Macaca mulatta: one gene and its partners. The protein of the gene in region 3 interacts with the protein of the main gene of each other region in a pairwise test. Links are inferred from orthologs where the notes say so. Each region holds a gene or a part of one and is shown on either strand. Other genes may lie near its edges.

Region 1 (2,351 bases), on a different chromosome or scaffold from region 3:
CACCTGTAACCTCAATAATTTGGGAGGCAAGGCAGGAGGGACTGTTTGGGCCCAGGAGTTCAAAACCAGCCTGGACAACATAGACTGTGTCTCTATTCCCACCCACCAGCCACCAAACCAAAAAAAGTGAACTCATCTGGGTGTTGGGTTTAGGTATCTGGAAGTTCGTTTGTTCATTTTTGTTTCTGTTTTTTTTTTTTTGAGACGGAGTCTCGCTCTGCTACCCAGGCTGGAGTGCAGTGGCGCGATCTCGGCTCACAGCAAGCACTGCCTACCAGGTTCACGGTGTTCTCCTGCCTCAGCCTCTCCAATAGCTGGGACTACAGGCGCCCGCCACCACACCCGGCTAATTTTTTGTATTTTTAGTAGAGACGGGGTTTTACCATGTTAGCCAGAATGGTCTCAATCTCCTGACCTCGTGATCCACCCGCCTCTGCCTCCCAAAGTGCTGGGATTACAGGCGTGAGCCACTGTGCCCGGCCTTTGTTTCTGTTCTTTTTGAGACAGTCTCACTCTGTCACCCAGGCTGGAGTGCAGTGGGGCAATCTCAGTTTACTGGAATTTCTGCCTCCTGGGTTCAAGCACGTCTCATGCCTCTGCCTCCCGAGTAGCTGGGACTACAGTGGCCTGCCACCATGCTCAGTTACTTTTTCTACTTATAGTAGAGACAGGTTTTTGCCATGTTGACCAGGCTGATCTAAAACTCCTGACCAAGTAGTCCGCCTGCCTTAGTCTCCCAAACTGCTGGGATTACAGGCACGAGCCACTGTGCCCTGCCTGGGTATCTGGAAGCTCTCATGCAACTCTACTATTGTCTACATTTGACCATTTTCGCATTAAAGCAGAAAGTGCTTTTCAGTTATCTGCCTCATGATGGAAAGTGGACTGCGGGACTGTGCGGTGGCAGAGGCCCAGGAAGAGGCTGCCAGGGAGCTGGAGTGCAGGAGGCGCTGAGTGGGAAGAGCAGACAGGACGAGGGATGGACCCCAGCAGGTCCCCAGGGCCTGGGGCTGAAGCAACCCCAGGCTAGTCCTTGCAGAGATTGGGGAGGACTGAGGAGGTCTGTTCTAAGTCTTAGAAGTCTAGTCTAGAGAGCACTTTGATGGAGAGATTAAGCCAGCCATGGAGTGTGGCATTCAGAGAGGCCTGGGCTGGCTACATAGATGTGGGGGTTCCCATACAGACTGAAGGCCCCAGGACATTATGAGGGAGGGCTGAGTGCAGATGAAGAACAGGATCGAACAGGAGGAGCCGGCAAAGGACTGAGAAGTGAGGAGAATGGGCAGACAGCAGGGTCCTGAGCCAAGACCGGTAGGCACTTCACCAAGGACCCAGAGGAACCTGCTTGCAGCTGGGGGGTCACTCCCCCACTCTTCCTGTGAACCTTCAAGGGCAAGGTGGAGCCTCACAGAGCAGAGTCATCCCAGAGCCAACTGGGGCACAGCTGTCCTGGGTGATGTCATGCCACCTTACAGACATTTACGCAGCACCATCTGTATGTGGAGCCAGAGCCAGAGCCCCAGCCCAGGACCCTGAGGCAGCAGGCAGACACATACATTACCAGTTGTATGACCCTGGGAATGACAGGCTGCTCTAAGCTTCTGGTGTCTTCTTTTGTGGGAGGTGATGTTGACAGCACCCACATCTCACAAGACGGTTGGGAAGACTGAGAAACCGTGGGGATCAACAGGTCACAGGAAGCATGGGGGCGTGGGGGAAGCATGTGCTTAGTCCTGCTTTCCAGGCCTAGAACAATTCCTACATGTTATGGACTCTGGTGCCCACAGGGAACAAAAATGGTGGCTGCCATGGCTCCCTCTGCCCTTGGGATCACACCTGCAAAAGCTGAGGGTTCTCCTGGCCCAGCTGCTGGAGCAGAGCGGGCAGCAGCGCAGGGTTCTGCTGAATCACCTGCCGCATGTTCTGGAACTGGGGCTGGTCCCGCAGGAACTCCAGGGGGTTCTCTCCTGCTGATAGTAGGAAGGGGTGCAGTCAGACACCATGCCGGGCTCCTAGGAGCACTGCGGGGTGGAGTGTGATGTGAGTCAGGTACCTGGAGGGCAGATGCAGCACGTGCACACCCACCTGCTTCCGTGGCCGGCTGCTCGGATACCTGGCTCTCCTGGACAGAACCGTGTTCCGGCTCGGGGCTCCCAGGAATTCCCTGTCAGGGGTCCTGTTTAGTTCTAATGCACAGACCTCCTGCTGCCACCCTCCTCCATGCCCTGGCTGGACACAGATGAGGCCTCGGCCCTGCCCTCCAGAGGCCCACCCACCACTCACATCCAGCCTCCTGTGGGAAGCCTTTAGTGGCTAGAATCACTACCCAAAGGCTCTTCAGGGCAGGTTTT
Region 2 (3,500 bases), on a different chromosome or scaffold from region 3:
ACTTCAATTCAAGCTCTGCTTTCTCCTCTAGATACAAGGTTTGAAACCTCTCAAGGTCTCATTTCCTTGGTTGTATTAACTAGTGAAATCCTGCTGGCTTTGAAATTACATACACTTTGTAAAATTTATGGAGAGAGTTACGAGACAAAGTGAGCAAACCATTCTGAACAGCATCAGAAAGTAACACTAAATACAAACTGGAAAGCATCTTTTCCTTAAAACAAATAAAACAGAATATGCCCTCTGACAAAACTGCAACTGATGTTTAATATCAGCAAGGATACCTTTTACATCCACTTGGGAGACTTTCTTTTGGGCCTTTCTCAAACATTAGTGAAGAGAGAACTTAATGAAGCATTCAGCTGCTCTGGGAATGAACCTCATTTCTGAAGTATTTCAGATTAAATCATTTTACAGTAAAAATTCAGGGCCATTCCTTCTCCATCCAAAAGATTCCACTTTACCTCCAGAACTTGTTGTTGTTGTCGTTGCTGTCGTAGTTGCTGCAGCTGCAGCCACTGCTGAAGACTGAGGAGCCCCAGTACTAGCTGCTTGAGGGGGGTCAACCACAGCCTGACTTTCTCTATCTCCAGGGATTCCCTATAACAGAATTTCCAAGCTTTAAGATATCCCTTCAGGCAAAATTTAATATTATACAGAGTAAAAGATTTATAGTCTATTTAACATCTTGTCTGATTTTCAAAAGCATCAAACAGACGTCTGCTTCAATTAAAAGTAAAGGATTATTAAGCTGCATGGATTAAAATTAGATTAGAAATGACCTGTGTGCATTATAGAAAAACCCACATTGCTGTAATAATGCAAAGCAGCACTGTCCAGCAGAACTTTCCATGATGATGGAAATTTTCCCTGTGTTGTCCAATAAGATGCCTACCAGGCACACGTAATTGGCGTCAAATCTGAAAAATACTGATACATGTACCTTCTTAAAACTGAACATAACCAAAGGTTTTTGTGCCAGCTATTACTTCAGTTGACTTTTTAACTTCTTAGAAATCTTCATCAGCTGTTACTCAGTAACAAAAAGGATTGAATTTGCAACCCGGGCTTAAGATAATCCAAAAAAAGAGTTTTTGATGCACACTTGACAGTTCTGAAATGATTCCTGGGGAAAAAATATCTAATGGATACAGACCAGGTACACAGCGGTCAGGCAGGAGGATCTCCTCTACTGATCCATGGAACTGAGTAAGTGTCACTCAGAAACTATCTCATAAATTTGACACACTTTTGAATAAAGCGTTTCTTTGAGAAAGTGTCAAAGTATCTCATAAATATGAGCTACTCAAGTATTTCCAAAAATTTAATTTTTCAAAATGCACAAAATTGATCTAAAATAAACTGAAACCATTTAGTTTTTAGGTGATGCCTTTTGTAAGTTTATAGTACTTATCTTTTAAAGTTATTAAGAGCTTAAAACTGCATGCACTAAAATATTTTGGGACATCTATTTTGATGCACATGGTTGATAAGACTTGTCATTTAAAAATTTAAAAAAGTCTTTATCAAGTTCTTATAGCTTTTGAAAAGAAGAAAATAAAGAACCAAGTATTACAATTGAATAAGATGATAAATGCTTCCATTTCCTAATAAGCTAGAAGCCAAAAGCAACAACATATAAAGGATGAAGGGCAACACAGCAGGAAAATGGCTGCATGCATTAGATGTCACTCCAGGCATTAAAACCAATGTTTTTGAATGAGTTCATCATTTCAAACCCTTAACTTAGATGGTCAGTTATTTAAGTGCTAACAAACTACATACAAATTTAGGATCCAGAGGGTCCATCAAATTCTGTTTTATAAAACTAAAAAGTTAATCTTCATTGCTACAGATCAACCTCTATTCTCACACATGTTACATAGCCTCTTATTAGATAAGTGCTCAACATTTCTTCTTTCCACCCATTCACCTTATCTGTTAACTAGTAACAGTTAAAGGCAACTTTTCCCCTCCAGTCTATGAAACAAACAGCAAACATATAAAAAACATTTTAGTTATAAAATGTTTGATGAACTCATGACTCATCTATTTATTTGCATTTGATGCTATACAGCAGTTTTAGCATTTGGCAACTTTGGTAACAATGATTCTTTTTTTTTATACATCAAAACTCCACATCCATTAGATCACAATAACTGATACCGTTGAACTTATGCAGAATTCTAAATCAAGTGTAAATGAAAGCCACTCCATAAAAGCTAATACTTTTATACAATCTGTTTAGGGTATGCACCCCTCACCAAACAAATTCACAACAATTAATTCCAGAATTCCAAAAAAACTGGATAAACTGCCAGCATTTAAAGACACTACTCAAGAAGACAATGAAAAAGTGAATTTAAAAAGATAAAATAATATGCTAAGAAAAGGTTTTGTGAACTTCACATCCAAATGCATGGGCAAATAAATGGTGGAGGCAGAGTACAGTTATGAGGCTTATAACTGACTCTTCTGAAACTAGCCAGCTACCTGAAAGGAATTTTTAACAGAAGTACAACTTAGACACAAAGGACAACCTAGACATAAAGGAATGGGTTAAACTGTGGATTAATTGCCAAAAGAGTTAACTCTAAGATACAAAAAGAGAAACTCTAAGATGGTATTTAGGGCAATTCAGACTTCGATAATACTCCAAAACAGCAGACAATTATAGAATAGAAGATTTCTTAAAAGTTAATTCAATTACTTTAGCCTGTGTCACATCTGTAAAACTAGCAGACTTTCATCTTAATACCAAGTGTTTCAGTCAATGTCCACAACAATCTATTTCTCAAAAACTCCCATTACCGGTAAAAAAAGAAAACCTTATTCAAAAAGTCCCTCAACTCCTACTGACTATAAAAACAAATTCAAATGCTAACGGAACCAGGTAAGTAACATCATTCGTTAAATGCGTGATGTTACATTGGTAACAGAGTGAATCAGAGGATAATGAATTAGATTCTATGATCTAAAATATTTTCCTTAATCCCTTGCAAAAATCTGGGATCCAAAGTTGTCCAGATAAACCAGAAATCTGTACTTATATGTGAAATTTCCCAGATTTTAAAAAGCTCGCAACTTATTACAGATATATACATAGTATAAGCAAAAGAATTTGGCCCGAATTCTCAAGCTTAAAATGTTTGTTCTTAATAATTCATGCACAGTGGTACCTAAAAAGCTACTACAATGCTGGACCACTATATTAAAAAAGGTTACATTTTATTAACACAAAATACAAACATACTAGAAAAAAAAGCACTGTGTATCATCTAGCATATATCATACAGGTGAAGTGGTCCTTTAAAATCTGTTTCTTTGAGATTTTGATCTTAAACAACTAGAATGAAGTAAAGTAAAACATGTTTCTCACCATTAAAAGATACTCCACTGCTCTGTCAGGGTTGTTGAAACTGGCTCTCAGGGCTGCAATTACTTGCTCTCGTTCATAGCCCATTGACATGATCTCAGTTACCATATTCTCGTAAGACTGA
Region 3 (4,158 bases):
AAAAAAACTTACATCCATCTGCAAAATAAAAGTTTAAAAACCCTTGAAAATATAAGAAACCATTCCGACTACCAAAATACAACTATTTACTTAAAATTTAAAAACATATACGTACATACAATTTTTTAAGGTGAGAAGAAAACTGGCTAAAATGTTGGCTATGCAATATACACTACACACCTCTCCTTTTAGATAATCCATAAAGTGTCTGAGTAAAAACAGACTTTCACTTTTGTTTCTTCTAAGTGTGAAGTTCACTTCCTAGTTACCAGTTTTAAGTGCGCTTCCTGGTTACCAGCTTGATGGATTTAAATCTGTCAACTTATTGAGGTAGATGGTTTATTTATATCCATATAAATATTTTTAAATAGTTCTAATATGAGTAATAAAGCAATCGTGTATTAATATGGAAAGCAAACACATTTAAGTGTTTCTTTCGTAAAACAATCTAAGTATTATGGAAGTATAAAAGTTTCTCTAAAAAAAAATCCCCAATAACAATGAAATGATCTAAAACACACCCATACTAAAAATAACATCATAATGATATTTTGAATTAACTACTCCTCCCTTTGTGTGGGGAGGGGATTAATTAAAGTAGGAAATTGGACTTGACAGCCAAGATCACTTTCGTTAACTTGATTCTTGATTCTACAATTTTATGCATAACCTCTGAACCATGCAACAGAGCCTGCAGTTACTTAATGCAGTTCAGTCAAAATCAAATGAAAAAAAAAAAAAAAATCCCAAACTTACAAAGTTCTTCCCATTGTTCAAACTTAGGAGATGTGAAAAATTCGTATTTCTCACTTTGAAACAGACTTTAATATTCAACATTGAAGACAATTATAAACAAATAGTACCATACATATTAAACAGTGCTTAGTATTCACATGACCATATGGTCTTTCGTAAGCCTTAAGTCTTTAGAAACTAAATTTGAAGGTATTCAAAATAGAATAGGGAGGATTAGGAAGTAAACTCTTTTAAACTCTCATTATTAAGTCTTGAATTATTTCACCGTAAATAAAGTGCAGTGTGCAATATCCTTCTAACTTTACCAGTAATATCAACTAACATACGAGTCTCAAAAACTTTCCCAACGTGCCTAAAATAACAATGCACTATCCTTGCTTTCCAAACTTCTTGAGTATCTTCGACTACTTTAAAGCAGTATCATAAAATTCTAAAAATAATCTCAAGGCAAAAATTTAGCAGGCTGTATGTAGACAGCCCATTTTAGAACAGGTCTTATTGCAAAGTCAAGCACAGGTAGAATATCGCTACACCAAAACTACACCAGGGTGGGGCATTCATTACTCACCCAGATTAACCAAACACAACTCCGGTGGTTGATCACAGTAAACCCTAATTGTCCCCGTAATTCCAACACGACTAAGGCACGGTTGACCCCTTTTGCCCAAAATGCTTTTCACGCAAATGAAAAATTTAAAAAAAAAATTAAATTATGGCCAACTACTCTTCAGAATATGGTGCAAGCCATGATAGTGCACTTAAGATTCTGAAAGCAAAGTCTAAAATAGCAGAATGATCTCTCACTATTCACTTTAAAGATACAAAGCTTCACAGTTTTTTTAAAATGGTTTTCTTTAGTGAGTGACCATTTGAATGTGTGACTGATGCAAGAGTAAAGAGTGAACGAAGGAACAAGGTCAAACTTAGGGGACAAAAGATTCCTGGAATAACATGGCCAGAAAGGTTTCCTCTCTTAGAGACAGTTACCATATTGGAAAAAAAAAAAAAAAAAAAAAAAGCAGAAAAGAAGAACTGAAGAAAAAAGGGAAACCTTAAAAGGAAAAGAAACCAAGCAAATCACCTACTTCTAGAGTCCACCTGGTCAACACGCCTGCCCCGCAAGGCAGGTAATTCGATTTTGCTGGAGACCGTTTTTGCAAAACAGCAGGCCTGTAACACTACTACCTTCGAAAGACAAAATGGGTTCAGAAAGGATGACAACTGGCTCTTCTTTCTTATTTAAGGGGAGAGAATAAAGTTTCATTAAGAAGCCACACAGAGCACTGTAGGAATGTGAGGGTCGCTCTCAATACCTGGCACCGTCTGCTACGGGAAAACAATCGGCAGAAGGAAGTGGACTGAAGCCCGCAAACTACACTCTGCTTCCCACACGCAGCTGGGCACTGGGCGCGACGCCCCCGAGGCGATGGGCAGGGGCGGGGGGTGACGGTGGAGGAAGCCGGGGACGGCGGCGGCGGCGAGGCCGGGGCGCCCGGCCGCGGCGGGGGAGGACAGCCCGTCGGAAGGAGGAGTGGGGCCCGCCGGCTCGCGGGCTCGCCTCACCTTCTGCGCCGCGCTCTGCTGCAGCACGTTCTGCTCCACGGTCATGGCCCCCGCGGCGGCGGCGGCGGCGCCCGGCTCCTCGCGCCTCCGCCGGCCCTGGCTGCCGCGCTCCGCCGAGCTCCAGGGAGCGGCGCGGACGGCCGGGGAGGACAGCGCCCCCGCCAGCCAGGCGCGAAGGCGATGGCTGCCGGCGTGCGCGGGCACCGCGGGCAGGCGGCGAAGCGCCGACTGCGAGGGCCACGGCGGCCGCCCCACGTCCCCACGCGGCCCGCCTCAGCGCCGCTCGTCCGCGGCGGCCCGGGCCATGAGCGGGCGGAGGACGCCGGGGCGCGGGAGAGCGCGGGCCAGTCAGGCGGCGTCACGCGTTCGCGCGCTCCTTAGCTGGCGGCTCGCGGCTCGCGGCTCGCGGGCCGCTTTAGGGAAGGGAGAGAGGGGACGGAGGGAGCGGCCGCCCGGAATGGCGCTGTCCTCCTCCCTCTGTGAGTCCTCCTCCCTCCCCTCCCCTCCCCTCCCCCACGCGCCGTCCCCGCCCCCGCCCAGCGGCTCCTCCCCCGCAGAGCCCCGCCCGCCGGCCGCCCTAACCCTACATTGTGACCCTCCGGGCGGCGGGGCGGGGCGGGGCCGCCATGGAGCCCCGCCCCTCCCGGCGCGGGCCGGCGTTCCCGGGTGGGGCGAGGGCGCGCCCGGCTGCCCGGCCAGGGAGCCGCCCCTGCGGCAGGTTGCGCGACGCTGGCGCTGGGCTTTGCGAAGCGCGGCTGGAGGCCGGAGGGCAGTGTTCCTGCCTGCGCCCAGGGCTTGTCGGATCCGTAGCTTGCCCAAAGCCTCCAAAGCAAACACTTCCCTGCATGCCCATAACGTCCCAAAACTACCTAGGGTCCCGAACTGCGGCCTCTTTCTGTGTCACGCGTTCTCTCCCCTCACCTTTCTAGGAATTTCACAAGCCTTGAACTTGCCTGAAGGGAAAAGTCAAATAAGCAAAGGATTGCCAGAAATCTTTATGCTGGGAAGTACGTTTCTCCTTAACTAATCATTACGTAAATGAATATAGACATTTTCCATCTACTTCATTCATTCGAATATGTGTCAGTCACTGCTAGGCTCTGGAAAAATAAAGTTTATTTTCCCAAGACTTAATATAAATGAAATAGGATATATGTAGCAAACAACCTTACAAAAATATCACTGCCTAGATGATACATAATTCTAATATCCCAGTTGCCAAATTAAGCAAACAATTAACTACCATGCATGGAATACTTGACTATATATGGAATTGCAAGGAAAACCTAACATTAAGAAAGCAATCTCTAGCCACAAAAATATCTCGAGTTCCAGGAGCTAATCTGGGAACGGAGGTGAGAGTGCAGCAGTGTGGGGAAAGAAGTTATCAATGCATATTGTCACAAATAGAATACACTTGAAAATCCTGGTATAATTTTTAATCCAATGACAAGGAAAGCAAGCTTGGTAAATGCTAATTGAAATAGTATGTGGTGTTATTTAATAATCACGGATTATAGTAGCTCTTAAGGCTTTGTAACAGTTATGTGCACTTTACATCCATCTTTGATCTGCAGCTCGAATGTCTTGAACCACCTGTTGTCATCTTTTCCTTGAATCTTCATATGTGTTGACTCATTTGATATTTAACAAATTGCAAATCTTATTATATTAATATCCTACATCTTTTCCAGAGGAATTGAAAAGTCCTGAAACGGTTGGAAACAGAAATTTAGGAATACTGTCACATCTCTAATCCCATGTATCAATTTTTTTATAACTCTGAAACCCAAGGAGGGTGACCTCTTAAAGAGAGCTTGTTAGAACCCATTTTTCTTC
Region 4 (3,500 bases), on a different chromosome or scaffold from region 3:
CAGATATTCTACCACGGACACTCTGTTATACCCAGCTGCAAAATGAAGTGGTGTAGACTGACGCCCTTCAATGTCTCTGCAGTTGACACTCTGAACAGTACACAGTTTCTGAAGGACAAAACACAACATACGTGATACTACTTCTACATATTCTCATTTCTTGTTTCAAGTCATTTAGTAGGAATTTTCAAAGTGTCTGACTTACTTTCTTGTCTCATTAAAACAGTATTCTCAGAAACTATTTAGTATTCTTTTTTTTTTTTTTTTTTTTGAGATGGAGTCTTGCTCATCGCCCAGGCTGGAGTGCAGTGGCGCGATCTCAGCTCACTGCAAGCTCCGCCTCCCTGTTTCAGGCCATTCTCCTGTCTCAGCCTCCCGAGTAGCTGGGACTACAGGCGCCCGCCACTACGCCCGGCCAGTTTTTTTTGTATTTTTAGGAGAGATGGGGTTTCACCGTGTTAGGCAGGATGGTCTCGATCTCCTGACCTCGTGATCCACCCGCCTCGGCCTCCCAAAGTGCTGGGATTACAGGTGAGCCACTGCGCCCGGCCCTATTTAGTATTCTTATTTCATCTTGTCATTTACTGGGAATCCCTCTGGTCCTCTCATCTATGCCTTTTTTTGTTATTATTATTATTATTATTGAGACAGAGTCTCGCTCTCTTGCCCAGGCTGGGGTGCAGTGGCGCAATATCAGTTCACTGCAACCTCTGCCTCTCGGGTTCAAGCAATTCTTCTGCCTCAGCCTCCCGAGTAGCAGGGACTACAGACACATGCCACTGTACCTGGCTAATTTTTATATTTTTAGTAGAGACGGGGTTTCACCATGTTGGCCAGGTTGGTCTCGAACTCCTGGCCTCAAGGGATCCTCCTACCTTGGCCTTCCAAATGCTAGAATTACAGGTTGAGCCACTGTGCCCGGCCTCATGTATGCCTTTATATTCTACTTTTTCTAAAGCTCAAGGGTAAATTTTATTATTATCTTTACTATATATATATATACACACACACACACACGCGCACACACGTAAAGTGCCAATCATCAGCAAGTGTAACTTGCATTTTGTGGCAAATACACACAGAGTTACATGAGATTACAGTAGCACCAGCATTACCAAGGGGCTTATTAAGAATTCAGAATCTCAGATCTCTATCTACTGAGTCAGAATTTGCCCTTTGACAAGATCCCTAGGTAATATGTAAACATATTAAAATTTGAAAAGTATTCCTTTAGAGCAGTGGTTCTCAAACTTCAATGTGCATTGGGTCCAACCCTCAAATTTTCAGTGTAACTGATGTGGGCCTAAAAATCTCCACTTCTACCAAGTTCTTGGGTGATGCTGATGCCGGTGGCTCAGGAACCATACTACACTACATGGAATGAAATAACCAGTAGAATGCTGATGGTTAGGCCGAACACAGTGGCTCATGCCTGTAATCACAGCACTTTGGGAGGCTGAGGCGCGCAGATCACTTGAGGTCAGGAGTTCAAGACCAGCCTGGCCAACATGGCAAAACCCTGTCTCTACTACTTGGGAGGGTGAGGCAGGAGAATTGCTTGAACCTGGGAGGCAGAGGTTGCAGTGAGCCGAGATCGTGCCACTGTACTCCAGCCTGGGTGACCAACCCAGACTCCATCTCCAAAAAAGAAAAAAGAGAGAGAAAAAAAAAAAGAATGCTGATGTTTATATACAGTTATACAGTCCTGGGGACTGGGTAGAATTAAGAAAGCAGTCAATTTTCTGTGTTCTTTGGTTCAGATGAGGAAGTGTAGTTATGAAAAGTATGAAAGTTTGGGGAAGAAAAGCAACATAGATAATAAATCAGACTGCTTAAAGAGTCAAAAGAATATATTCATATTAGTCCAGGCACGGTGGCTCACGCCTGTAATCCCAACACTTTGGAAGGCCGAGGCGGGTGGATCACCTGAGGTCAGGAGTTCAAGAGCAGCCTGGCCAACATGGTGAAACCTTGTCTCTACTAAAAACACAAAAAATTATCTGGGCGTGGTGGCGGGCGCCTATAATGCCAGATACTCGGGAGGCTGAAGCAAGAGAATCGCTTGAACCCGGGAGATGGAGGTTGCTGTGAGCTGAGATCATGCAACTGCACTCTAGCCTGGGCAACAAGAGTGAAACTCCATCTCAAACAAACAAACAAAAAGAATATATCCATATTAGTAAAAACTCTTTCCCCTTTTTACTATCCTACGCCCAAAGCAGGGATAACCTAAGCTCAATAAAACAAAGGAGCCTGCTATCAGTGGGTTTACCTCAAGGGGTTTAATCACTGTCCTGGCAAAGCTCTTCTGTGCTTCCCAAATAGAGCTGGTGAGATATACAGATTCAGGGCCCCATTTAAGAGATGGTATTTCAGTGGGTCTCAAGTCAGGTCCCTAGAAATGACTATTTTTAACATGTTTACCAGGTGCTGCTTGGGTTTGGTAGTTATCACAGGCCATTCTACTCTTCACCTGTCAGTTAAATTTTGCCCACTCTGAGACAAGTTTTCTAATAGCAGGTGTTGAATAAAGTATCCAGCCTGGTGGATTATCAGTAAACAAACACAACTGAGCACAACAGTTAAGTGTTCATTAGGTAATACGCAGATGTTCTTGTTCCAGTCATTCGTACAGAGCCATCTGTCTAGAGGTAGGTAAGAAGAATGGTTCATGGAGATAAATGTCCATCAAGTGATTTTAAAAGCAGAGGGGAGGGAAGAATGCCGGATACTTGGCACAGGTTTTCCTGAATCCAATGGCATTATTGTGTTCTCTAAGTCCATTTCCTGCCCCCCAACTTCATCTCCTCTTTATCTATCCCCTCCTCTGGACTCCCTCTATCTTTATAAAAACAAAGTTTAGTCTTTAACATGTTTACTAAATATAGTTTTATGTTCTTTAATATATATAAGAGAATGAGCATTTACAATTCTGTATCTCTCCCTGCCCACACACACCAAAAAAAAAAAAAAAAAAAAAAAATCAGCTAATTGCTTTCAACTTAATTTTCATGTCTCTTGGAAAAAAAAAAAAATCAGTTCACAACCTTTTACCTCAAGTGATTTGTATTTCCACAAGTCAGTACTAATAGAAACAAAATCCTCCTTTCAATATCCTATAAGCCTCCTACTTAAGGGAATGAGAATAATGAGGATCAAAATAAAAACATGTCAAATAATAAAACTGCATGATAGTTGCAGTTTTCTGTGAGAAATGAATTAAAAAAAAATCTGAAGTTATCTGAGATGTCTACACAGATAAAACAACAGAAAAGGATCACATGGATTTTAAAATCAATTTGTAGAAAGCTCTTCATTTAAAACGGCAGTGAATAAATTCCCTCAGAGCTCTAGCTCAGAAGAGAACAACACTTATATTTCCTTCTCAGAAAATCTAAAATTATTGACTTTGTGAGTGGGTCTGTTTAAGATTTAGAACACCCTACAGAAATATAATGAAATTGGCAGGGCATGGTGACTCATGCCTATAATCCCAGCAC

The links.
Region 1: the proteins of USP25 (region 3) and RAD23A interact in binary tests that used the Homo sapiens proteins (3 or more experiments, as listed by UniProt). The link is inferred for Macaca mulatta from reciprocal best matches to the Homo sapiens genes USP25 and RAD23A.
Region 2: the proteins of USP25 (region 3) and RAD23B interact in binary tests that used the Homo sapiens proteins (3 or more experiments, as listed by UniProt). The link is inferred for Macaca mulatta from reciprocal best matches to the Homo sapiens genes USP25 and RAD23B.
Region 4: the proteins of USP25 (region 3) and TNKS2 interact in a two-hybrid assay, tested with the Homo sapiens proteins (2 studies listed by BioGRID and IntAct). The link is inferred for Macaca mulatta from reciprocal best matches to the Homo sapiens genes USP25 and TNKS2.

The regions. Positions count from the first base shown.
Region 1 is NC_133424.1:13,515,844-13,518,194, reverse strand, and holds part of RAD23A (UV excision repair protein RAD23 homolog A), read right to left. Parts: intron 2,165-2,351; coding exon 2,086-2,164; intron 1,971-2,085; coding exon 1,837-1,970; intron 1,747-1,836; coding exon of another isoform or gene 1,684-1,746; exon of another isoform or gene 1,667-1,683; coding exon 1,562-1,666; exon of another isoform or gene 569-1,561; intron 1-568. UniProt on the Homo sapiens protein: Multiubiquitin chain receptor involved in modulation of proteasomal degradation. Binds to 'Lys-48'-linked polyubiquitin chains in a length-dependent manner and with a lower affinity to 'Lys-63'-linked polyubiquitin chains.
Region 2 is NC_133420.1:51,071,076-51,074,575, forward strand, and holds part of RAD23B (UV excision repair protein RAD23 homolog B), read right to left. Parts: coding exon 3,380-3,500; intron 601-3,379; coding exon 465-600; intron 1-464. UniProt on the Homo sapiens protein: Multiubiquitin chain receptor involved in modulation of proteasomal degradation. Binds to polyubiquitin chains.
Region 3 is NC_133408.1:31,981,323-31,985,480, forward strand, and holds the start of USP25 (ubiquitin carboxyl-terminal hydrolase 25), read right to left. Parts: upstream 2,801-4,158; 5' UTR 2,365-2,800; coding exon 2,320-2,364; exon of another isoform or gene 2,070-2,319; intron 1-2,069. UniProt on the Homo sapiens protein: Deubiquitinating enzyme that hydrolyzes ubiquitin moieties conjugated to substrates and thus, functions in various biological processes including inflammation and immune response.
Region 4 is NC_133414.1:103,814,807-103,818,306, reverse strand, and holds part of TNKS2 (poly [ADP-ribose] polymerase tankyrase-2), read right to left. Parts: intron 2,984-3,500; exon of another isoform or gene 1,609-2,983; intron 786-1,608; exon of another isoform or gene 247-785; intron 109-246; coding exon 1-108. UniProt on the Homo sapiens protein: Poly-ADP-ribosyltransferase involved in various processes such as Wnt signaling pathway, telomere length and vesicle trafficking.